4 linked regions of the Arabidopsis thaliana genome follow. The protein of the gene in region 3 purifies or fractionates together with the protein of the main gene of each other region. This does not show direct contact. Each region holds a gene or a part of one and is shown on either strand. Other genes may lie near its edges.

Region 1 (4,648 bases), on a different chromosome or scaffold from region 3:
TTCTAAACTACAAAATTCGAGTCCCATAAAGAATTGAAGAAAGCCCTAAAAGTATAATTCAATTCCGACACAAACTTACCAAAGACAAGTTCATTGGAGGAGACAAGGGAGAAGAAAGTGACGAGGTTGAGGAAGAGAATCACGACAATGAAATTTGAGCTTCGGACAATGACTGATGATGAGTCACTCATCGATTTTTCTGGGTTTTGTTTTTTGGATGAAGAAATCGTACGAAAGTAAAAGCAGTCACATAAATAAAAGAGACAAAATTAAGCCATGTCATCATCATATCTGCATACACCAAAAAAAAACATATTTAAGCTTTGTGACACATTCATTCATCATCAAACAGTAGCAGCAATAACCTTGGCAACAAAACATGTTGAAGGAACTGTAAGCACATGACCAAACCACTCAACTTCTCCCCAAATTTCACAACTTTCTTGTTTTTCAAGAGCAATCTCCGCGCACCAAATCTTATTCTTATAGCCGTTGTTACTACAAGGAGATTGTTCGACCCACAAAACCGCCATCTTTCCACCATAATCAGCCAATTGAATACAAACATTAGGTGAGAACTTAGGTAGCCTTACCAATTAACCCTTCAAACGTCTCCACAATCTTACCTTTTTGTCATACCATCTTATCGCTCCGTCAAAAACACAGTACAAAACGTTGTCTATCTCTCAATGAGAACTCGAAAACTTGAAAAATTCCATCTTTTGTTCAACCATGTCCCATGAGTCCATGACAAAATGGGGTGAAAAAATAAGTTCTTGAAAAAGCAATAAAACAAAATTCTCAAACTTCCATGGCCTCGTGTTCTGTTTCTTCTCCTGCAGTAGCCTCCTGTGTGTTTTTTATAGGCACGCTAAACAAGTACTCGCTCTCATGCTCAACCAAGTACTGCATCGATCTCTTGGTGTCTAAAAACAATCTATAAACTCTCTCAATGTCCTGAATCTCTACGACTTTCCCTTTACGTTTCAGGCAAGCTAGGGCAGCTGCATTGATTAGATGAATCGCGTACCTAAGCGAGGTATTACATCCGATCAAAGTCAGAAGCTGTTTCGCTTCCTCGTTCATCTCCACATCCTCTTCTTGGCAACGGATCTCTAAAATATTTCTGATCTCGTCTTGTGTGTAAGGCTGTGTTGTGATAATAAGAAGACGGTCAAGAAAATCGATTGGGATCCCATGTGCTGATATCTGGTTTGTTCCTCGGATTGTTGTCATTCCTCTGTTTGTAGCCACGACCAGGATTGGTGACATATCGTTTTCGAGAGCTCTATTCAGGAAAGAGAAGCATTCGATATCAAGCATATGGACTTCATCAATGAAGAGAACACCAGGTACTATTTCAGCTTTCCCTTCTTCTCTCCACTCTGCCACTTTAGTATCGCTTTGCTCTCGGGTTTCTGAACGAATCTCGCCTGTATCACCTGTGAAGAGGGCTAGATACCCTTGAGTCCTGCAAACAACAGAAAGAAAACAAGAATCCAAATAAGAACTTGAAAAAGCATCAATACGTGAAAAAGAAGCAATCTTTTTAACCTAAACCTAAAACTAAGCAATTGACAAATACAGAACAAGATCAAGAAACAAACCTGCTATTAATAACATCAATCTCATGAAGTGTGACAGAATGCAAAACCTCCTTCCTCTTCTCAAGCTCACCTTCAGGGCACTGCACAAACTTAGTCTTTGAACCCATAACATCAAAATCTCTAGACCTCGTAAAAGATCTTCCAAGCTTAGTAATCTTCCCACAAAACCTATCCAAAACAATAACATCACCACTCTGTACTTTCTCCTTATCCAATGGCTCAATCAATTTCCATCCCAAATCAAAATTAGATTCCATATCAGTCGTCTTCATTGTTATCTTCCCAGTCTTCTTCACAGAACCACCAGAAGAAGCAGGTCTATCAATCGAAATCGTCACAACTTCTCCTTCTATCACGTCAGTCTCTTCTTTGATCCTAACACCAATAGCTTTACGAAAAGCTTGAGTTAAAGCTTCAGTCTTTGACATCTCTAAAGAAAAGATCTCACTTCCTGCAATCATAGTGAATGGTGTTTCTTGTCCAAGTGATTTTGCTATACCCATTGCTATTGCGATTTTACCCGTTCCGGGTTGACCCGCTATAAGTATAGCCCGACCCGAGATTTTGCCGTCTCTGATCAACTCGAGGGTTACTCCGGCGGCTTTACGTGCTTTGATTTGACCAACCATTCCTTCGGATACGGCTCGTGGCTCGAGTACTGAGTCGAGACCTAAACCTCGTATGTGTGAGTGTGCTCCGATTCTTTCGATCCTAGTTAAGTCTCGAGTTTCTGATAACCTTAGTTCTGCCATCGTCGGTTGTTGAGTTCACCCGAGGAATGAGACTTGGCTTTTACTAGGTTTAGACTTTGGAGAATCAATCACCAGAGTCTTTCTTCTTCGTAAAGGTTTAGCTTTATTTATATTAAAAAATTACAAGATTTTGTTTGATATATATTCTTGTTAATTTACTTATGAGGAAGTTTACATTTATATATATATATATATATATATATATATAAATAAAAAGATAGTTTTTTTGTTTTGTTTTGGAATCTGTAAAGATATTGCAGACAAAAATAAAATTGAGAAACTTTTTTTCTTACAGCAAAAATAGTAATTGATAAACTTTCTAAATTATTATTTTTTGTGCTTGTGGTTTTGAATTTGTATTTTATGTTTGTAATTTTGTGAAGTTATTGTGGTTAAAAGAAATTAATTTTTGTTGTAATTTGTTTTTAGAAATTACTCATGATATTAAAATCATGTAGAACTGCATTGGTTGTTAACAAAACAATGTGAATTATTTGCATCACCACTTTTAGAATCGTATGTAATTTTTTTTAACATCAATTATAAGTAATACAAGAAATAATATTAAATGATACAAAATGATTTTTCTTTTCAAGTGTTTGATCCATATTTCTCAATAAGCACAATGCAACAACCTAATAATAAACCTAAAAATCAAAATCAAAATCGTCCTAGAGGCTTATGTTTTTGGTCAACAGATGGTTTTTCTATTTCTTTTGTAAGAATCTCGCAATTACCATAATCAAGAAAAGAGTCTTCTTCTTGAAACTCATCATCATCATCACAAGACATCTCCTCATCTATTCTTCCCATCACAACAACGCATCTATTGTTCTTCCGATGATCCAAGGACAATGATTGTCTCATTGCAATCGTAGGTTGTCCGCCACGTGTCAGACAGCCTTGATCATGTGCCGCCGACGTCAAGGTAAAGCTTCGAGGAAGGGCGGTGCTAGGCGGATCGCAGATTTGGAAGTTTCCGGAGAGTTGACCAAAACCAGATGATCCACCACCGGAATAAATTCCGGCGCCGGAGCATGACGTAATGCTTCGTATGTAGGCGTCACGTGCCATGATCAACAGACGAAAAGGAGCCTTAACCAACCATACGAAGCAGTTCTCTTTCTCTATGACTTTCGCTTTCATTATTGGATTCTCAAGAGTATCGAAATCAAAGTTGTATATATGTAAATATATAACCTTTTAAATATATTATAAGAGACGAAGAAGAAGAAATGCTCAAAGATTTCAAGACACTAAGACAGGATCAAAGAGAAGACAAATCCATGATGACTGTTGTAAATGATAATAACAAAATTATGAATGTGATCTATTCTTAAATGTACCTAGTTGGATGATTAAATACATTTCTTTCAGTTAGATGTTTAAATTTATTAAGGTGTTGTTGCCTTGTTGGCAAATCAGTCTTAACTTATTTCATATAATATGGACACCAATTTAAATCTGGATATTTGAGATGGGTTAGTTAGTAGTTAAAAGGGTATAATGGCTTGGTTCAACTACTTTCTTCAAAGCATGACGCTTGGTATGATAGTTCGGCCCATATATTAAATTTGATCCAATGTATAGACCCAATAGATTAGCACTCTTGTTTGCATCACTACATTACTCTAACCCACTATCGAATACTACAAAACTTTAACTGATTATTGAATCCTATCGTTTGGGATTAATTTGGTTCCAAAGAAATTCATGTGAGGAGATCACAAATAAATTGTTATCGAGATTTGGCCATTACTCTAACTTATCTAGAGCGACAAATATAATTTATAACTGGAGGTACACTATTTAGATCCTAGATTGTAGGTTTCGAAAATCTTGGGCGTTACAAGCAAAAACTCTTGGTATCATTGAATCCATACGTCATATAGTGTATAATTTATTTACAAATATATAGGTGCCTCATGCATGTGTCTGATATGTACATACTACTATAGACATAGATTTAGGGGGTAGAGCGTCACGACTCACGTGACAGTCCAAAGCTAAAATGGCTAGAAAATCAAACATATAGAATACGCGTAGGAATGCGGTATATACCTTTTTTATTCCTTCGTGCTTCTACTTTTGCATTTATTAAAAGATTGTTTCACACTTCTTTAACGTTAAAATAAATGAGCTAAAGCCTAAAATACTAAAGATAAACATATGCGTAGGCAATGCATTATAGTGTATTCATGTTTACCGATGTCATGGGCTCGATTGGTAACACCGAGAATGACGAAAGCGTAGACAAAAATGGTAGAATAAAATGGCATAAAGTCATAA
Region 2 (6,765 bases), on a different chromosome or scaffold from region 3:
TTTACTCCTTCCATAGTTCCATTGCTTGCTTAGACGTAATTGTTTAAGAAAAAATCTCCACAACATCCTCTTTGTTCTTGCAAACTCCATTACTTAATTCCGTTTATGCGTATCTTTTAAAATATCTACAACTCTTTAGCGAAATTTTATAATCCACACTATACAATTTAATTCGTTTTATATATGACATGTTTAGCAAAAAAAAATACCAATTGCTTTAATTTGTTTTTTATCCCCTTTTCCATTGGTTGATTATTATCTTTACAAAAAAAGATAAAATAATGTTTTGCTCTCACATGTTCACATGTGGATCGAAATATTAGTAAAAAAAAACTAATATGATAAGTATTATTTGACACATCTCATGATCTAAATTAAATTCCATTCCTTTTCATTTCCTTAATTCCACAATATGCAATTATATTTTTGTTTTTTCCCCCTTAATTGCTCTTGTTCTTTCAATTTTTTTTACATATTTTGCTCTAATATGTTCTAATAGCATTTCTGATTTTTTTCCTTCTTTAGAAAACTTTGACATATATAAATAATTAAACAATTATGAAATTGTCAAGCATCTCGAATAAAAATGGGGTAAAAAAACCTTTTCTAAAAGGGAAAAAACCCAAAAAAAATTTTAACTAATTTTTATTTGGACGTTTAATTCCCAATTTTGGGTTGGGAAAAAATAAAGTAATAAAAATGTGCAATTTAATACCCAAATAATTAAATGTTGTTATTTTCGATCCCACAACAAAAATAAAATTCCAATTTTACTTTACCATCTCAATTGATTATTAATCTTTAGATTATATGACATTAGTTTTATAATTTTGGATAAAAATAATTTTATTAACATATTTGTTTATGGTGTCTAGAAATTTAAAATTTTATTTTTATTATAATTATTCTATTTTAAAATTTAACATAAAAATTAATGAAAATCAAAAATATTTTAAATTGGCCGGTAAACAATTTGCGTTCGAATTTAAATCTTTCACGAATCAAACTATTTTTGACAAAATCTCAATCCGAATCTTATCGTCTTTTTCAATATTGACGGTTACTTTTTCACATTTCAAAATCTCAATATTAACGGTCCTTATAGACTTTTACCAAATCCACCATGTCCAATTTCATTGGTTGAGTCTAGAATATTTGAATCTCTTCTGGATTAGTTGCGCTTATTGCTTGTTTCTTTCTGATCAACTCGAACATGAATCATGACATTCCCGCACTCAAAAAGTGTTCGATGGAATGTCGGATCTACTAATTGCAGTGATACTCGTCTATATCCCAAGGCAATTGCCATTTAGAGCGTGTATTGGCTTTAACAAGTTGATTTGATATTGCCTGCTTAGTTAGAGATCGCTAATGGTGATTAGGTCAGTGTCTAGCTTTACTTGAGGATTTCTATCACGGTAGTGAATTAATCTGTTACTGAACTTGTTGTAGGGATAACTTATGTGAAGTTTTATCAACCATCTTAATAGATTAAGGAGATCACGCTATTCGATTACTTCATCCTTAGGAATCTTTTATCCATTTGATTGTCTGTTATCTCATCTGCTTTGTTATTCATCTACTTGCTATTGCCATTTCACATTTTAGTTTCATTTCATTTATGTTAATCGACATTAAGATTATTAGAAACTGACAACTCTCTGCTTGGCTTGACTTAGTAAATTCTGATTATATCTCATCTGTTTGCATCACACCAGATTGGATTGACAACCTTAAGTATTACAACGATATGATAGTGTTTTAGGAATTGATACCCTAAAAACCTATTATCACCAAGCTCGAAGACATCCCCGGGAGACACAAGCGTACGGTTGCTTTGTTGCCGCAACGTTTCAAAAGAAAACAACGTATTCGTATGACTTGAAGGTGAAGCAATCCAGCAGGGGAACCATGTGATAAGAGAGCACATGTGCGGGAGAAATATGCACGTGTGACGAGATGCTAGAAGAAAAAGAATAATATCTGCAATAGATGCAAGTGGGGATTGCTGCTTATATAGATGATCTCATTGTTTAGAGATTCTTTATGCTGATTGATGTAGAAGCTTCTGCGTGAGAATGGTAGATGATGAGCTAACCAAGATGATATGTTAGGCGTCTCCTTTGGTTTGTACATTGATCGGCGATAAGTTAATCAGAGTTTGGTGGCTTGATACTTATCACCATGTATACGTCGAATAGTTTTGGAAGATGATGAAAAAGATTAACTCCTGTGTATTCTGTAATCAGCAAGAACGAAGAACAGACCTGTAGTTACTATGATACATAAAAGTCAAATAGCAATTTATTCTACTTTGACTTTAAAACCATTCTGTTGGCAAGTAGTGGTGACTTAAAATTTTCATAACCTTGAATACTTTCAATGTTTTTGAACTAGCAATTCGAAAGAAACTCGAGATTGGTTATAATCTTCAGTGCCATACTCAATAAAAAAAACTAGCAATAATCCATAAGAAAGATGATTTATGGTTATCATTTGACCACATGAAGACAGCTACTCAAAAAAGTGTTTGGCTTTAAGTAAACATATGGTTTATAAGAGAAAGCATCATATCAGATTGGGCATTGATGATTAGGTATAACACAGAAAAGTCGTCATTCCAGCTTGACACGATCCATGTCGTTGATCACACCTTCAAGCTGCGCAATGGAGGAAAAAAAGAAAAAGACCCAAAAATCAAAACAAGAGTTGATGTGCACGAGTCTTAGTTTCAGTTTATACAACATACCTTGGCAATCTGCCGCAAGAAGAAATCACCATAACGTTTTGCGGGTTTTGATTCGACAACGTAGATCATGTCCTGCAGTGTCACCAGGTTTAGAGTTGTTACAAACGTTGTAAAAGCACCAGAGTATCGATATCAGAAAGACAGAGAGAGAAGAAAGAACATACGTTGTTGATGAAGAAATCAATGTCTGCATTGGAGATGATCCTACCATCGGAATCAACTGAATGGGTCTTGTGCTTGTATGTTAACAATATGGTCCTGCAAATTAAAACCCCGTACATGTCAAAGAAAAAGAGAGAAGTAGATTTGGTAATAATAGTTATAAGAATGCCCATAGTTAGTCCCTGACCTTAGAGTGGGCTCATCAACTTCCATGTAGTTTGCGAGCTTAGCAAGAGAAATGGAGGAGTAGACTTTCAGGAAAGTCCGCACTCCCGACAAGAGCTGCTGCTGCTTTACCTCGTAAAGGAACATCTTCAGCTGAAGCCTGTATGCATCCTGATTGTAATTGACAAGAGGTTCCTCGAAAGTTGGTGGTGCGGAAGGGGTGATAAACTTGGGGCATGCGTAAGAGAAGAGCTCATCATAAATACCAAAGGCCTCGTCGTCAGACCTCAGCATCCTCATCATCTTTTCACCATACTTGTCTCGCAGCTGAGAGTTGACAGACTCGTCAACGAGTTTAGTTTGAGGGCAGAGGGAGAGGGAGAGAGCAAGCAAAGCGTACATCTGCTCATTCTTCTTGAGTAATTGCTCGTACTGAGGTGACTTTTGATGGTACTGCTTAGTCTTGAAAATGTAGAGGAGAATCTTGTTGAACTCACGAACAGCATCGACATACCTCCGCAACATAAGGGTGGCAAATCCATAGTGGTAGATAGTAGCGATATGGCAACCAATGACACTGGTGTAAACACCTGGCTGAGTGATGTCAATGGGCTGCAACCATTTGAGAGCAGTGTGGTAGTCACCGAGGAGGCAGTGAACACGCAAGAGACCGACCATGCTGAAGTAACCGAGGACCTTCAAGACGTTGCTGCCACCGCTGAAATCGTAGCCATCAGTCTCAGTGAACTCAAGGCCATCCTTGTCATGCTCAAGGATCTGGATGATACAAGACTTCTCCACAAGTGCTTGCAAGAAGTTGAGCACGCCATAGACATTCCAGGCCTTATCGTGCTGTCTGAGCAATGCAATCTCCTCCTCTGTTTTGTTCTTGAGCTTTGCTCTGAATTGACAGAAACTTTGGAACTGGTAGACAAACTCATCCACCATATCCCACAACCACTGGTTCGGCAACTGCATATTCACTACGCCGTGCAACACAACCTAGAAAGAACAAACGGAAGAAGGTCTACTTACTTGTATTTATTCCCAGCCAATACATACACAAAAGAAATCAAAATCAACAACATCTCTATCTAACAAGGAAGAAGAAGTAGAAGAATTCCACAACAGACCTGAAAGAGGCTGCAATAGTTGTCATAAGAATCAATCCTCTGCTTCAACGTCGGAGACAACCTCGCATACAAATGTCGAAACCACATCTCACGGTACAGAAGACAGAACACATGGTCGTTGTCTACGTAAGGAGCAATCGCTTCCACACTTGGCCACGGCGTGTCCTTGAACAGACGCTCCGATATGCTCTGGAACGATGTCTCACACATCTGGTGGATCTCGTACACGTTCTTGTCCCTTATGTGTCTGTACATGTGTGACACGAACGATTTCACCGAATCCGGCACCATATTCGGGTCGTACCCACTCTCCCTCTCCCCTGGACCTTCCTCGTACTCATTGCTGCTCGCCATTCTCGCCGGATCAATTCTTAGCGGCCGCAACAATGTTAACTCTTCAACTCACTTCCACCGCCTAGGGTTTCCTTATTACCACCGGGTCTATCCTCCGGTTTGCTTTTACTACTAAATGAACGATTACCACCGGTTTGTTTATATCTCGATTTATTTTTCGGTTGTTTATCTATTTTACCGAATTAGACCAAAACTGAATCGAAATTAATTTTGTGTACTCTGACTCTCTCTCAAATCTCAATGTCTCAGCTTCTTCACCTTCACCGTCTCTCTCTTCCACAATCATCTCTTCGTTTCAGATTCCCGCCTTTACATCGCCGACGTGCAGCTTCGTCGCCAACTAACTCAACTCAACCCCCCCTGCAGTTTCGTCCTCTCACAGTCTCTAGATCTCAAATAACTTGCAGATTCAGCCAATCCGGTGAGACTTATCGTTTTTTCTTTCTTTTTTTCGATCTAATGAAACATTCCAAGTGATTGTATTAGATTCTTAGCAACATCTTCTTCATCTTCAACGAAATCATTGTAAGTTTTGCAGATATTACGCCACAATTTGAATTGGATAAAGCAAAAGACAATCGAAAACCACAAAAGCGAGCAAATGGCATATTTTGGATCATACTTATCAATCTGGGCATATATCTTGCTGATCACTTCTTTCAGGTATGAAAGCTTGTCTTTAGATATCAATCATCTACACTGTAAAACGTTATTCGTGTAATCCCATCTCTTTGGATTGTGACGTGCTTATCTTATCATACGTTTTATATTGTTTATTCGATTTAGGTTCGTGGGATCAAATCTTTGTATTTGTATCACAATTTTCCGGCATGGTATCAGTTTGTGACGGCTACATTCTGTCATGCTAACTGGTGAGAGAGCTCTCTTCTTTCTTTTTTACTTTGGCACTGTTCGTTTCATAATCGCTAGCGGCTGTGGCTGTGGCTGCGATTGCGATTGCGATTTTAAAATCGCAGGATGTTGTTCGTTTACCAATCGCTGCGATTAATCGCCATTTAAAAAGCCGCGTCGCTCTTTTTTCATGCGATCAAAAAATTCAGTCGCAAGCCGCAGCGATTGATCGCGCGATTAGTTGCAGGATCTTGCGACTGTCAAACGATCAACTTTCAGTCGCAGTCGCAGGCATCCTGTGACTACCAAACGAACAACACTTATGATAGTTTTTTTCTCTGTGGCTTATGTTGATGTTTCTCCTGATTCTTGGTTTTTTTTTTATGTATCATGTATGATTCTAGGAACCATCTCTCCAGCAATCTTTTTTTCTTGTACATATTTGGTGAGAGTTCAAGATTTTCTCATAGTTTGAATTTCTAGCTAGTTTATCGATTCAGAGAGCTAATGGACACATTTGGGAATCAGGAAAGCTTGTTGAAGAAGAAGAAGGAAACTTTGGTTTGTGGCTCTCCTACTTGTTCACTGGTGTTGGAGCTAACCTTGTTTCTTGGTTAGTTTTACCGAGAAATGCTGTTTCTGTTGGTGCCTCGGGAGCTGTTTTTGGGTTATTTGCTATCAGTGTCCTCGTCAAGGTACTGTAGTTTTCTTCTCTCCTTGTAAATCAAACTCCTCAGTAATATCTTGCTAATATTCAACTTCTTTTGATTGTCTAGATGTCTTGGGATTGGAGGAAAATCCTTGAAGTTCTTATATTGGGTCAGTTCGTTATTGAGAGGGTAAGATTTTCTCAAAATTTACTCACAGCATCACTACCGTTATAACCGTATTCCGGCTTACAGTCCCATCTTCTTATGAGTATAATGAGGTTTTTATACAATATATGAGAGAAAATGTCTGATGATGTATGCAATATAGAAGCTCTTCGAATTCAGGGACGATAACTGTTTAGTTAATTGATCTGAATAGGTAATGGAAGCAGCTCAGGCGTCGGCTGGATTATCAGGAACTATATATGGTGGATACTCTTTACAAACTGTTAATCACATTGCGCATCTCTCTGGTGCTCTTGTTGGGGTTGTTTTAGTTTGGCTTCTCAGCAAATTTCCTTCGGCATCTATGGATCAAGACGTTAAAAAGTCCTCGTAAAAATGACGAGACAAAACTTTTCGTGTAAGGAACATACTAGCTGTCCAGTGAATGCAAGGTAGATGAAACGATTGATAGATTGACAAAATATCCTTGTAAAAAAACTGAAGAACGGTCTCTAAACCGAGCCTTTGTGAGTAG
Region 3 (7,000 bases):
CTGAGCCATTCAGTTCTGAAACTGTACAATGTTTGATTTACTGCAGCAAATTACAATAAATATTTATTGATTGAAAGATTTTAATAAGAGTTTATTTGTTGTTTAGCTTCCTTTTTACCACCTACTAGCTACTAGTGACCTTTGAATCTTATTCCAAATAAGTATGTCTCTAATCTAGTTTAAAGTCTAATCTTGTTTTTAAAGTCATTTAGTGACTTACTTTGTGTAACATTCTGGTTTAGTAGTTGGTTACTTTGGAAATTGGGTTTAGAGAAAGATACAAACTTTCTTGCACTTACTTGATTGTTGATACCAAAAACATGTTTAGGAAATTTAACCAATAACGGAATTACTAAAGATGAGCTATAAATAGGAAAAAAAAAAAAAAAAAAGGCCAGAGAGAGAGAAAGAGTTGGAGGAAGTGAAAAGGAATCTGAGATTGGTGGGGGAATGGGAAGATTGTGAAGTGTGTGTTTTGACCACAGTACAGTCAAAATCTCTGTCTGTCTCAGGGTTTTCTAATTTCTATGACCACCATCACAATCTTTTTGTCTTCATTTCATTGTCTTCAAGATTCATGACCCTTTCTATATAACACAAGTTTTTTAATTGTTGCCGTTTAGGTCCTACTGATTTGAATGATGAAGAAGATCATTTACATGCCTGTTCTTCATTTGCTTTTATAGTGAGCAGCTAACTTTGTTTTATGTGGACTCTTTCAGATCAAAGAGAGAAAGATCAACTGCAGATCCTTAAGGTACGATGTTGTTACAGGAAAATTGTTGACTGAGAAAGAAAGGGAGAGAGCTCAGGTGTGTATATGTGATTGTGAGAGGGGCCATCAGGAAAGTACCAACAGAACTGTAAAGATACAACAAAAATCGCGAGAATTGAGGATATAGCTACTCTTGATGATGAGACTTTTGAGATATCTCTTCATGAATCTTGTGCTGAATCTTCAGTATTGTCATCATCAGGTAAACCAAATATCCTGAGATTACGGTCCATTGAACCGACTGCTATGTATTTGGAGTCGAGTCCAAACTTAACACTTGTTGCTTTACCTGCACATTTATGTAGTTACAATGTCTGAATGATAGACTCAATAAAACAAGGAAGAGCAGTGACTTCAAAAGCTTAACATGTAGCATTTACCTGTACCGGACAGATCGGGAAGAGTCTTGATTGGGTTCCATTCTGCTTTTACACTAGCTGCTTGGAATACTCTACAACATTGAAGCACAAGTTTTCGATTAGTATGATTTGCAGAAGAAACGTATACATATACCCAAACTGCATTTCTGGTGATAGCAGGTTAATTGAGTTTGCACAACTATCTTTCAATATCTCGTTATCAAAGTGAGCTCCTATATCAATTAATTCCCAACATTGTGTATCAAAGTAGACCTCACCTTATATCTGAAGCAGCAATGCCAAGATAAGATCCGCTATGGTCAAACTCCACTGCACAAAAAAAGCTCATTCAGGCCTTAAGAAATGAAAACTCACTCAACAAAATAGACTAGTAAGAGTGCTCAGGTAGTTGAATACCCGAGTTTGCATCTGGAAAGTCAAAGGTTCGGAAGTTCTTTAACTTGCGCAAGTCCCACAACCTAACACCATCCAGTGCAGCAGTCTGTACAATTTAAAGAATAGTAAATATTGGTCAGTCAAAAGGAACCTGGTGCTATCCTTCTTTCTACTTAGTTTAGGTCAATCAGTCAATGTACCCACCGCAAGGAAATAACCGTTTTCAGAGAATGATATAGAGGTGATTTCTCCATTGTGTCCACCAAACTTTGCCACATTTGCCTATCAAACGACAGAGATAGAGATGAGAGTGAAGTGAGAACAAACTTACAAGTGACAACAGTTGATGAGCAAGGAAGGTCAAAGAGTTTTTACCTGACTTTTTACATCCCAAATCTTAACAATAGATTGAGCGGTACCAGTTCCAAGAATGAGACCATCAGGATGAAAAGCAGCAGCCGTGTAATTCACGTCGTTTTCGGAAGCATCTGTCACCTGAATAACAACAATAATGAGAAAGACGCATGGCAGAAACATTTATTCTAACGAGTCTAATTCACATTACAATAAAGAAGGTAAATGTTTCATTGTTATATTAGCATAAAAGAAGAAATCTGAAACTGGATAACAGGTATCAGGTGTGGATTAAAATTTTGGAGACCTGAGCAAGGCATAAACCGGAGGACAGATCATAGAAGCACCATGTACTGTCAAGTGATGCTGACACAAAGTATTTATTCGTTGCGTGGACAGTTACAGCTCGCACCTGAAAACCACATCATTGCTTTTACGTTAAACAGACCAAAAATAAATAAAACGTAAAACTGTATGAGACTGTAGCCTGTAGAAGTTCTTCAGTTACATCCTTACCTCGGCAGAATGATCTTTCAGTGTATGTCTAGAGGTATAGTTCCCATCCTCGGAACATCCCCAGATGCGGACTGTCTGCAGAGTGTTAAGAAATGAGAAGTTAATCTCTTCACTACTACTCCATAAAATCATGCAATCCTCAAAGGAGCTTGTACACATAACCTTAGCTTACCTTGTCGGATGAAGCAGTTAACACAAGATCAGTGTCACCAACGAACTTGATGCTTGTAACCTGCAAAAGGAACAATGCATGTCAAGCACAAAACTACAAAGGAAAAGTTAAAAAAGAAAATGAAATATAAAAAAAGAATACAGTAAAAGACAGACCTTCTTTGAGTGACCAGTCAGCGTTGATAAGATTTGTCCTGAAGGACGATCAAAGAGAACGGCAGTTGTATCAATTCCTCCCGTAGCGATGACATCCTGATTACCACATATAACGAGAAATTAAGAATAATACTAAATAGAGAACAGACACAGGGATTCATGGTAGTGTACAAAATCTATATACTGAAGAATAATATTGATAAGCATCCAGATGGGGATTCATGGCAGTGTACAATATAATGTAAGCGCAAAAGTAAACATGTCACTATGACGTTCAATGCAGTGACTTCTCAGGACAGAGAAAAACTACATAAAGTGATGAATGGAAAATAGAGAAGTTCTTAGGTGTCAAACCTTAGAATGTAGGATGTCCATTGAAAAAATTCCAGGTTTGTTGGTCTTGTGAAGGGGGTGGCTTGAGAGTTGGGTGAACTTCTCCAGAGCATCGACTGAAGCCAATGTTTTAGGGATCTAGAGAACCAATGAGGAGAAATTATTAAGACAGAAGAACCACTCGCAAATCTAATTGAACTCCAAAAGTGCAGATATCCATTGTATGTTACAGACAAACTATATATATATGTAATTCTCTTTTGCCTTCTATTTCCACTAATATACTGATATATGCAGTTACCTGTCTCTTTTTACGCTGCTGAGAAAGAGCAGCATTACAATCTGTGAGTTCTGTGATAACTTCAGCCGAAATTCCAAGACGCATTTTCTTTGCATTAGGCCCCTGCTCACCATCATCGATACCTATATTGCAACCAAAAACATAGTAGCTTGTTATAAGAGAAATTACCACATAGCCAACTTACATTGAGAAGCAAACGTGCAAGCATACCTCGTTTACCATTACTAAGAGCAGCATTCGATGTGGCAACTTCGGGGGCTGCAGGCAACTGCCTTTCAGCCTCTGCAAGCAATTGTCGTGATTCGTCTCTTTCTTTTTTAAGCCTAGCAATCACACGACAAGCAGCATCATGCTGCAAAGGAAAAGTGTATCCCCCATCAATCACCTTTTATCACAAGAAATAAATGGAAACATCCAGGAAAAGAAACTAGAATACATAATAGATATTTGTAATTCATGTAGTCTGATAAGGTGGTGGCAAATGCACCTAACCATAATTACCTGATACAAAGCGTGACTTAGCTCTTGCCTCGCAGTATGCAGTTGTTGTTCCAAAGCAAAATTTGATAGCATCAAACTGTCCCATTCCTACAAGCACAACAAACAGATAAACTTTTTAAGCATTTCTTTTGCCTAAAGTAAAAATAACCAGCGAACACTTTCGTCTTGCTATTAGTAACAAATGAACATATAATTCAATGTAAAGAGTAGAATGCAATCTGCTATGTTAAATAACTCAGATAGCGATGCATACCCAAATCAAGTTCATCCATTTTAACTCTATATGATCCTTAATAGACAGAGAACAAAATTCAGAAACGAAAAAGAAGGTATAGGGAATACAAAATAAGAACTTACAGTCTGAAACGTTCCAAGCAATCCAGGGATGCTAGCTGTGTGTAATGGTTTCGGCTTTACGATCTGCAAAATGGTCCCGGAGATCGAATCAGGCTTAAATAAGTTTCTACAAACAATGCTGTGTGACAAATAACTCCAGTGGTTGCATTACCTTCCCAGTTTTGATGGGAACAATGTCATCAAGAGTATGTGGCTCACCAGTAACCGGGCATTTCCCATAATCCTACAAGGTACCAAAAGCAATCTATAAATTATCACAACAAAGTCTGTATTAAGAAAATATCTGCAGCAAATAGAGAGGTGCAAGAGGCTAAACAGCTGAAAACCCTAGATAAGAGTCGAACGAGGGAGAAAAGAAAAGAACTTGCTTACGGATATATGCGTCTGGATTAGCCGCTTCTCGTAAAGCAAACCCGACTTCTTAGAAACCACAGGCTCCTCCGGAACTTCGCCGGAAACTGTAGAGGAGAAAAGACCACAGTGTTACCGACAGAAACAAAGCAAAATAAAACCCTAAATCGGTAAATAGAGAAGAAAGAGTGCCTTACTTGCACAATTCATCTTCTAAGTATAAACGAAGAAGAAGAAGTATACGCAGGACTAGAAGACTACTCGGTGAATCTTTAAATAGACTGGGCTAGGGTTTTAACTACTCCGGTCCGGCGCTACTAAACAAAATCGCAGAAGCCGGGAGGACGATGAAGACGGAAAGAGAGAGAGATGCAAAAATTGTTTAAGCTTAGGACAACAAGTTAGAGATTTCTTGTTAAACAAATGGGCCTTTTAACGAGACCTTGATTTATAACTAATTAGGCTTTTTTCTGAAGCCCATTAGTTAAACTATGTATGTTCGTTCATTCTTTCTGTCTGAGAAAAGAAACTCGAAAGTATAATTCTTACCCTTTTTTTTGTCATTCTTTTCTTTTATTTTTTCTGATTACAAATTCTTTTAAAGTATAAGGTAGGACAACGATGTACGGGCCATTCTATTTGCACGTACGATAGATGTGTTCTTTATGAACAAAAATTAGTCATAGCCGAAAAGTAGTATTCTCATAAAAAGCATATTTAGTATTCTCATTTCTCAACAATTAACATAGCCGAAAAAAGAACCTTATATGAACAAATCATTGGTCATACTATATTTTCATTTTTTATTAAAAAAAATTAGACTTCCGATTTATATAATATTGTCTGAGAGTTTGGTATTATAATATATTTGTGATAGCTCTGCAAAACTTAAATCATCTCGTTTGGAAAATGCGTGTGTGTAACACTGCACTCAAAGGCCAAAGCTTTTGCCGAAGATGCTCATATATATCTCCAAAGTATCGATTCATCAAATCAGCTTTGATCTCAAGCTGTTTCTTTTTCCTTTTGCCACCAAGTTGCTATTTTTTTCTTTCTCTTCATTCTGTTCTCGTTAAATGATTTCTTGCAACCTCATTAATTTCCAATTCTTAAACGTATGACCATGTTTATTTTATCACATACTGTATATAAGTTTAAAAAATTGCCTGAGTGGTGATATGTATTTTATATAATACATATAGTATATGTACATATTGTTAAACAATTTGAATGAAATAAAATTTTGGATAAATATCAGGAGAAAAAAAACTTAGATAGTCATGCTAATGATTTCAAATAATGCTTCATAGAGTTGGGGACCAAATAGAATGTTGATAAGTGATGTGATGATGTCCCGTTCCCAACCATGACCAAAACAAATAAACTAAAAAAAGCTAGAGGAGAACGAAAAAAAAATCGTCGTAATTACAATAGTAATTAATTAATGCGTATAGTCAATGAAAGTTGTTTTTAGAAGTTTTGAAGTGAAGGGATATTTTGAACTTAGCTGAGTAATAGTCCATGAAAGTTAGATTATTCACCTAGCTGACATTTTTTCATAGTTTGGGAATTCTTTATACGAAAAAAAAAGATAAAATAAAGGTAAGACCATGTTCGTAAAAAATTGTAGTTTCATATATGGTGTTTTTTTGTTAAAGTTTCATATATGGTGTTGATGACTATATAATCTATAAATCACATTGGTGTACCTTTATTTACGTTATCTAAGTCGATATATATTCCGATCTATAAAAGTATCTTTTCATTTGTATGATCAGTTCATTATTTGGTTATGGTTGTAAGGAAAACAACATATATAGAAAACGACAACTCGAAGCATGGTATGCTAAAACTATCACTGTAACGAATTTTTATCGAGAGAAACCATCTTGATATGAAATTTGTAGTTTCCGAATTTAACTAAGCATCACGTAACATTTTTTTTCCCCTCGAAATTTCCATAAAATAAATACATTTGACTTAGTACGATCTTTATCTCTTATTTTCAAAATTTTCACTGACCTGGTCTCTTTTTCTCCTTCTCTTCTTTTCCACTTCTTACCAGCATTTAAAAAACCCAACCAAGTAAATAAATAGAAAATGAAAAATTAAATTGCTAAAAATAAAATAGAAAAGCCAAATTCTATAAATAGAAGGCTTAATTTAGCACAAGTTTCAGTCAGAAAGTCAAAAATCATCGCGACAAAAAGAATTGGGTCAAACTCCTTTACCGGTCAACCAAGTCATCACTTAGGTGGGACTATTTTCTCCACGTCAACTAATTATTCCAATCGTTACACGCCACGTCACGAGAATAAGAAACTCCAGGACCAGCGCGTTTAACGTCAATTGCCACGCTGGCATTTTTCTTATTACATTTTGCATACATACACATATAGATACACATTTAAACCATAAGTATAAATAAAT
Region 4 (5,378 bases), on a different chromosome or scaffold from region 3:
TTGCGTTAAAGAGAGCTGAAAAGGCGTATAAGGAAACAGCTTCTCCTGGAAACTTCAAGGTAAATCACTGATCTAACCTTTAAACACTATTGCAACCAGATAGAGAATTGAAAAAGAAAAACTTTTGATGTTTCGAGAGAGCAGTTCAAAGCAGAAGATGGAGTTGGACACGAAGCGACGAGTTTCATGATCAAAGAATCATCAGACTGGTTTGACAAATTCCTTAAACAAGAAGATATGACAACTTGACAGATTGTAATATTGTGAACTAATAAAGAAGAATCATCTTCTTCTCGTTAATAATGTATTCACTCTCGCAAATCAATATCATTACAAATTTCAAAAAAAAAAACAAAAAAAAAGCAAGAGGATCATCATCATCATCATCCTTTCTTAGGCATAGCGGCGAGGCGTGTATACATTTGTGCCATTGAATTGAACCCTCTCACATCACCAGATCTTAGAAGATTCCCTTTTTTCCATAGCAACCACAACAAAAGCGTCAGTAGAAAAAAAAAACAGTTGCTTACTATAAAAACTAGGCATGGGCATAATAATCAAACTGAAAGAACCGAATCCGAACTGAAGCAACCCGAATCCGACCCGAAATGGTAAACTACTCAAATAGATCCTAAATTCTAGAACCAAAGTAATTAGAACTGAACCCGAACCGAACCAAAATATTTTGCGTATCCGAAATATGATTATATATCCAAAGATATTAGTTATTTTTAGTTTGAATAATCAAAAATACCCAAATAAGGAAAAATATATAAAAACACCAAAATATCCGGAAAAAAAGACAAAAAATATCTGAAATATTCGAAATAAAATATTCTAATGGATCCTAAACTTCAGAACCGAACCCGAACCTGAACCGAACTGAAACTGTTTCGGTTCCTATATGGATCCTAAAATCGAGAACAGAAAGAATCGGAACCGAACTAGAACCGAACGGGAACCAAACCGAATACCCGAACGCCCATGGTTACATTTTTGAAAACACTAAACTAGCATTTTGTACCTGAGTCGCAGTTAAGAGGACTGTCCGGCTCAGGATGAGCCATCAATGCTATGATAGCTCTACACACAGACTGAAGCGTCCAAGCAGGACTCCAAGCATTCTTCAAAATGTCGAGACATATTTCTCCTGTCTACAAAATTCCCAAGTACTAACTAAAAAACCTGCGTTTCCTTTTATCACAGGAGAAGGTTGTTATAAAAAGAGATGCAAACCTTGAAATGAACATTAGGATGGAATATCTTGGTCAAGAATCGAACTTGAGGAGGTTGCAAAGGATAAGGTTCAGGAACAGAAAAAGCAAGCTGAAAAACACCGCCTTCGTAAGGAGTCTCCGAAGGTCCTTTGATAAGAGCGGTCCATTTGAATATGTTGGTATCGTCACAGATCAATTGAATATCAGGATCTGCTACTTTCTCTCGCTGTACCTCTTTGTATTCTTTAAACAGTCGCGCTCTTGATGCCTATTACATCAATCAAATCAAATCAAATCATAAACATACACAGAGAATTTGCAACAAAACAAAAAAAAAATTAAGCAATTTACCTGCATCTCTAATTTCCCAAAGAGAACGAATTGTCAACTGCAAAAAGATCAATCTAAAATCAAGAAGAAATAAACCCTAATTTCTTGTAATTCACAGACGCAATTATCAGATCCCGTAACAATCTCAATGATTAGGTGAAAAGTGTTTTATACAAGAACAGTGATAATTAGGGTTAAGCAATGACTCTGCTTTAAGATCTAGAAAGAAAGACATAGGAGGGATGCGAAACTATAATTGAACATAAAGAGGACGAATCAACGAAGCTTTACCTGCAAATATGAGAGCGAGAGAGAGAGAGAGAGAGAGAGAGAGAGAGAATAGCGATGATTATGTGAAGTTTTTTTTTTCCGAACCATAGAAAGTTTTATTAAAATGACTTTATAAAAAAACATAACCGGATGATAGAACCGGTGGTAATAAGGAAACGAAACCGGATGATAGAACCGGTGGTAATAAGGAAACCCTAGGCGGTGGTAGTGAGTTAAGAGCTAACATTGTTGCGGCCGCTAAGAATTGATCCGGCGAGAATGGCGAGCAGCAATGAGTATGAGGAAGGTCCGGGGGAGAGGGAGAGTGGGTACGACCCAAATATGGTGCCGGATTCGGTGAAGTCGTTCGTGTCACACATGTACAGACACATAAGGGATAAGAACGTGTACGAGATCCACCAGATGTGTGAGACATCGTTCCAGAGCATATCGGAGCGTCTGTTCAAGGACACGCCGTGGCCAAGTGTGGAAGCGATTGCTCCTTACGTAGACAACGACCATGTGTTCTGTCTTCTGTACCGTGAGATGTGGTTTCGACATTTGTATGCGAGGTTGTCTCCGACGTTGAAGCAGAGGATTGATTCTTATGACAACTATTGCAGCCTCTTTCAGGTCTGTTGTGGAATTCTTCTACTTCTTCTTCCTTGTTAGATAGAGATGTTGTTGATTTTGATTTCTTTTGTGTATGTATTGGCTGGGAATAAATACAAGTAAGTAGACCTTCTTCCGTTTGTTCTTTCTAGGTTGTGTTGCACGGCGTAGTGAATATGCAGTTGCCGAACCAGTGGTTGTGGGATATGGTGGATGAGTTTGTCTACCAGTTCCAAAGTTTCTGTCAATTCAGAGCAAAGCTCAAGAACAAAACAGAGGAGGAGATTGCATTGCTCAGACAGCACGATAAGGCCTGGAATGTCTATGGCGTGCTCAACTTCTTGCAAGCACTTGTGGAGAAGTCTTGTATCATCCAGATCCTTGAGCATGACAAGGATGGCCTTGAGTTCACTGAGACTGATGGCTACGATTTCAGCGGTGGCAGCAACGTCTTGAAGGTCCTCGGTTACTTCAGCATGGTCGGTCTCTTGCGTGTTCACTGCCTCCTCGGTGACTACCACACTGCTCTCAAATGGTTGCAGCCCATTGACATCACTCAGCCAGGTGTTTACACCAGTGTCATTGGTTGCCATATCGCTACTATCTACCACTATGGATTTGCCACCCTTATGTTGCGGAGGTATGTCGATGCTGTTCGTGAGTTCAACAAGATTCTCCTCTACATTTTCAAGACTAAGCAGTACCATCAAAAGTCACCTCAGTACGAGCAATTACTCAAGAAGAATGAGCAGATGTACGCTTTGCTTGCTCTCTCCCTCTCCCTCTGCCCTCAAACTAAACTCGTTGACGAGTCTGTCAACTCTCAGCTGCGAGACAAGTATGGTGAAAAGATGATGAGGATGCTGAGGTCTGACGACGAGGCCTTTGGTATTTATGATGAGCTCTTCTCTTACGCATGCCCCAAGTTTATCACCCCTTCCGCACCACCAACTTTCGAGGAACCTCTTGTCAATTACAATCAGGATGCATACAGGCTTCAGCTGAAGATGTTCCTTTACGAGGTAAAGCAGCAGCAGCTCTTGTCGGGAGTGCGGACTTTCCTGAAAGTCTACTCCTCCATTTCTCTTGCTAAGCTCGCAAACTACATGGAAGTTGATGAGCCCACTCTAAGGTCAGGGACTAACTATGGGCATTCTTATAACTATTATTACCAAATCTACTTCTCTCTTTTTCTTTGACATGTACGGGGTTTTAATTTGCAGGACCATATTGTTAACATACAAGCACAAGACCCATTCAGTTGATTCCGATGGTAGGATCATCTCCAATGCAGACATTGATTTCTTCATCAACAACGTATGTTCTTTCTTCTCTCTCTGTCTTTCTGATATCTATACTCTGGTGCTTTTACAACGTTTGTAACAACTCTAAACCTGGTGACACTGCAGGACATGATCTACGTTGTCGAATCAAAACCCGCAAAACGTTATGGTGATTTCTTCTTGCGGCAGATTGCCAAGGTATGTTGTATAAACTGAAACTAAGACTAGTGCACATGAACTCTTGTTTTGATCTTTGGCTCTTCTTTTTTTTCCTCCATTGCGCAGCTTGAAGGTGTGATCAACGACATGGATCGTGTCAAGCTGGAATGACGACTTTTCTGTGTTACACCTAATTATCAATGCCCAATCTGATATGATGCTTTCTCTTATAAACCATAAGTTTACCTGGAGCCAAACACTTTTTGAGTAACTGTCTTCAAATTTCAACCATAAATCATTTTTGTTTTGAATTATTGCCATTTTTTTTTTTCATATTGAGTATGGCAGTTCAGTTTTTGATCGAGTTCCTTTCGAACTATTTGTCCTGTTTCTATATGCCAACGACGAGTTTAGTCTTCAGTAGTACAACTTTTTCCGTTTAAGATGTGCAAGCTTTCTTGTTCTTCTGTTAGAAAATTATATGATTGTCTCAATCTCATCAACAATAGTGAAATTGTAGTGTCATCGAATCATTTATAATTGTTTCATCGCTAATTCATTAAAGTCACTTTCTTCTATAACAAACAAACAGGTGAACAAAAAACCAAAAGAGAACAAATGACGTAAAGTCTTTTACCACAAATTATTTGTTTTATGATGAATCCAAAAAATTGTGTTTTGCTGTTCTGAACGGTTGTATTTTATTATCACAACATTTAGTTAAAAATGTTGACGATTATTTATGTGTTCATGTCTTTTCATCGTAACTTTCCGCTAACATTGCCGGTTATTTTTTTTTTTAGTACATTTTTATCGCAACTTTTCGTTTGTATCAGTCATTTTAATATTAACAGTTATTTTTTGGTGGGGATAACTACTTTTTTCGTTTGTGTCTTTTTATCATAACTTTCTATTTATATAGACGGTTATTTTTTTCTTTATTGTCTTTTTATCGTTACTTTTTATTTGTGTTTTCTCATCGTAACTTTCTGTTAATATCGATGGTTATTTTTCGTTTGTCTTTTTATCGTAACTTCGTAAAACAATTGACGGTTATTTTTTTTTGGTTATATCTCTTTATTGCAACTTTCCGTTATAATATTGACGGTTGTTTTTCGGTTGTGTTTCATATATCGCAAATTTCCGTTTAAATATTGACGATTATTTTTTTTTTGTATCTTTTTATTGTAACTTTCCGCTAATATTGATAGTGTCTTTTTCGCAACTTTTCTTTAGTGTCTTTTCATCGTAACTTTTCGTTAACACTAGCTGTTATTTTTTCGTTAGTATTTTATTATTGCAAACTTTAATAAAAATATTGAAAGTTATTTTTACTTTGTTGTGTATCAATAACTTTAAATAACTATAAATTTATCTTTTAATAAACTTTCAATATATCTAAATGTTTAATAAACTCTAAATAACTATAAAATTTATCTTTTACTAAAGTATAATATTAATAATGTCTTAAGATTTTTTTTTTTAAAGTAATTAGAATTAGTAGAAA

What was found.
Region 1: the proteins of MAC3A (region 3) and AT3G49830 fractionate together in Arabidopsis thaliana (co-fractionation; one large-scale study listed by BioGRID). This does not show direct contact.
Region 2: the proteins of MAC3A (region 3) and AT5G25754 fractionate together in Arabidopsis thaliana (co-fractionation; one large-scale study listed by BioGRID). This does not show direct contact.
Region 4: the proteins of MAC3A (region 3) and AT5G25757 fractionate together in Arabidopsis thaliana (co-fractionation; one large-scale study listed by BioGRID). This does not show direct contact.

The regions. Positions count from the first base shown.
Region 1 is NC_003074.8:18,480,094-18,484,741, reverse strand, and holds AT3G49830 (P-loop containing nucleoside triphosphate hydrolases superfamily protein), read right to left. Parts: upstream 2,494-4,648; 5' UTR 2,360-2,493; coding exon 1,608-2,359; intron 1,472-1,607; coding exon 802-1,471; 3' UTR 762-801; downstream 1-761. Other genes in the region: AT3G49840 (transmembrane protein (DUF2215)), read right to left, coding at 80-191; AT3G49820 (uncharacterized protein), read right to left, coding at 3,020-3,505.
Region 2 is NC_003076.8:8,951,362-8,958,126, reverse strand, and holds AT5G25754 (RNA polymerase I-associated factor PAF67), read right to left. Parts: upstream 4,753-6,765; 5' UTR 4,564-4,752; coding exon 4,210-4,563; intron 4,079-4,209; coding exon 3,099-4,078; intron 3,008-3,098; coding exon 2,914-3,007; intron 2,822-2,913; coding exon 2,750-2,821; intron 2,661-2,749; coding exon 2,616-2,660; 3' UTR 788-2,615; downstream 1-787.
Region 3 is NC_003070.9:1,224,529-1,231,528, reverse strand, and holds MAC3A (MOS4-associated complex 3A), read right to left. Parts: upstream 5,047-7,000; 5' UTR 4,781-5,046; coding exon 4,768-4,780; intron 4,678-4,767; coding exon 4,592-4,677; intron 4,443-4,591; coding exon 4,371-4,442; intron 4,283-4,370; coding exon 4,220-4,282; intron 3,950-4,219; coding exon 3,863-3,949; intron 3,714-3,862; coding exon 3,572-3,713; intron 3,484-3,571; coding exon 3,362-3,483; intron 3,199-3,361; coding exon 3,082-3,198; intron 2,824-3,081; coding exon 2,728-2,823; intron 2,633-2,727; coding exon 2,573-2,632; intron 2,476-2,572; coding exon 2,401-2,475; intron 2,297-2,400; coding exon 2,192-2,296; intron 2,026-2,191; coding exon 1,906-2,025; intron 1,813-1,905; coding exon 1,735-1,812; intron 1,637-1,734; coding exon 1,552-1,636; intron 1,465-1,551; coding exon 1,413-1,464; intron 1,227-1,412; coding exon 1,156-1,226; coding exon of another isoform or gene 1,150-1,155; intron 1,065-1,149; coding exon 937-1,064; 3' UTR 582-936; downstream 1-581.
Region 4 is NC_003076.8:8,964,179-8,969,556, reverse strand, and holds AT5G25757 (RNA polymerase I-associated factor PAF67), read left to right. Parts: upstream 1-1,916; 5' UTR 1,917-2,096; coding exon 2,097-2,450; intron 2,451-2,581; coding exon 2,582-3,561; intron 3,562-3,652; coding exon 3,653-3,746; intron 3,747-3,838; coding exon 3,839-3,910; intron 3,911-3,997; coding exon 3,998-4,042; 3' UTR 4,043-4,412; downstream 4,413-5,378. Other genes in the region: AT5G25770 (alpha/beta-Hydrolases superfamily protein), read left to right, coding at 1-59, 145-249; PEX4 (peroxin4), read right to left, coding at 384-472, 1,025-1,154, 1,237-1,485, 1,569-1,574.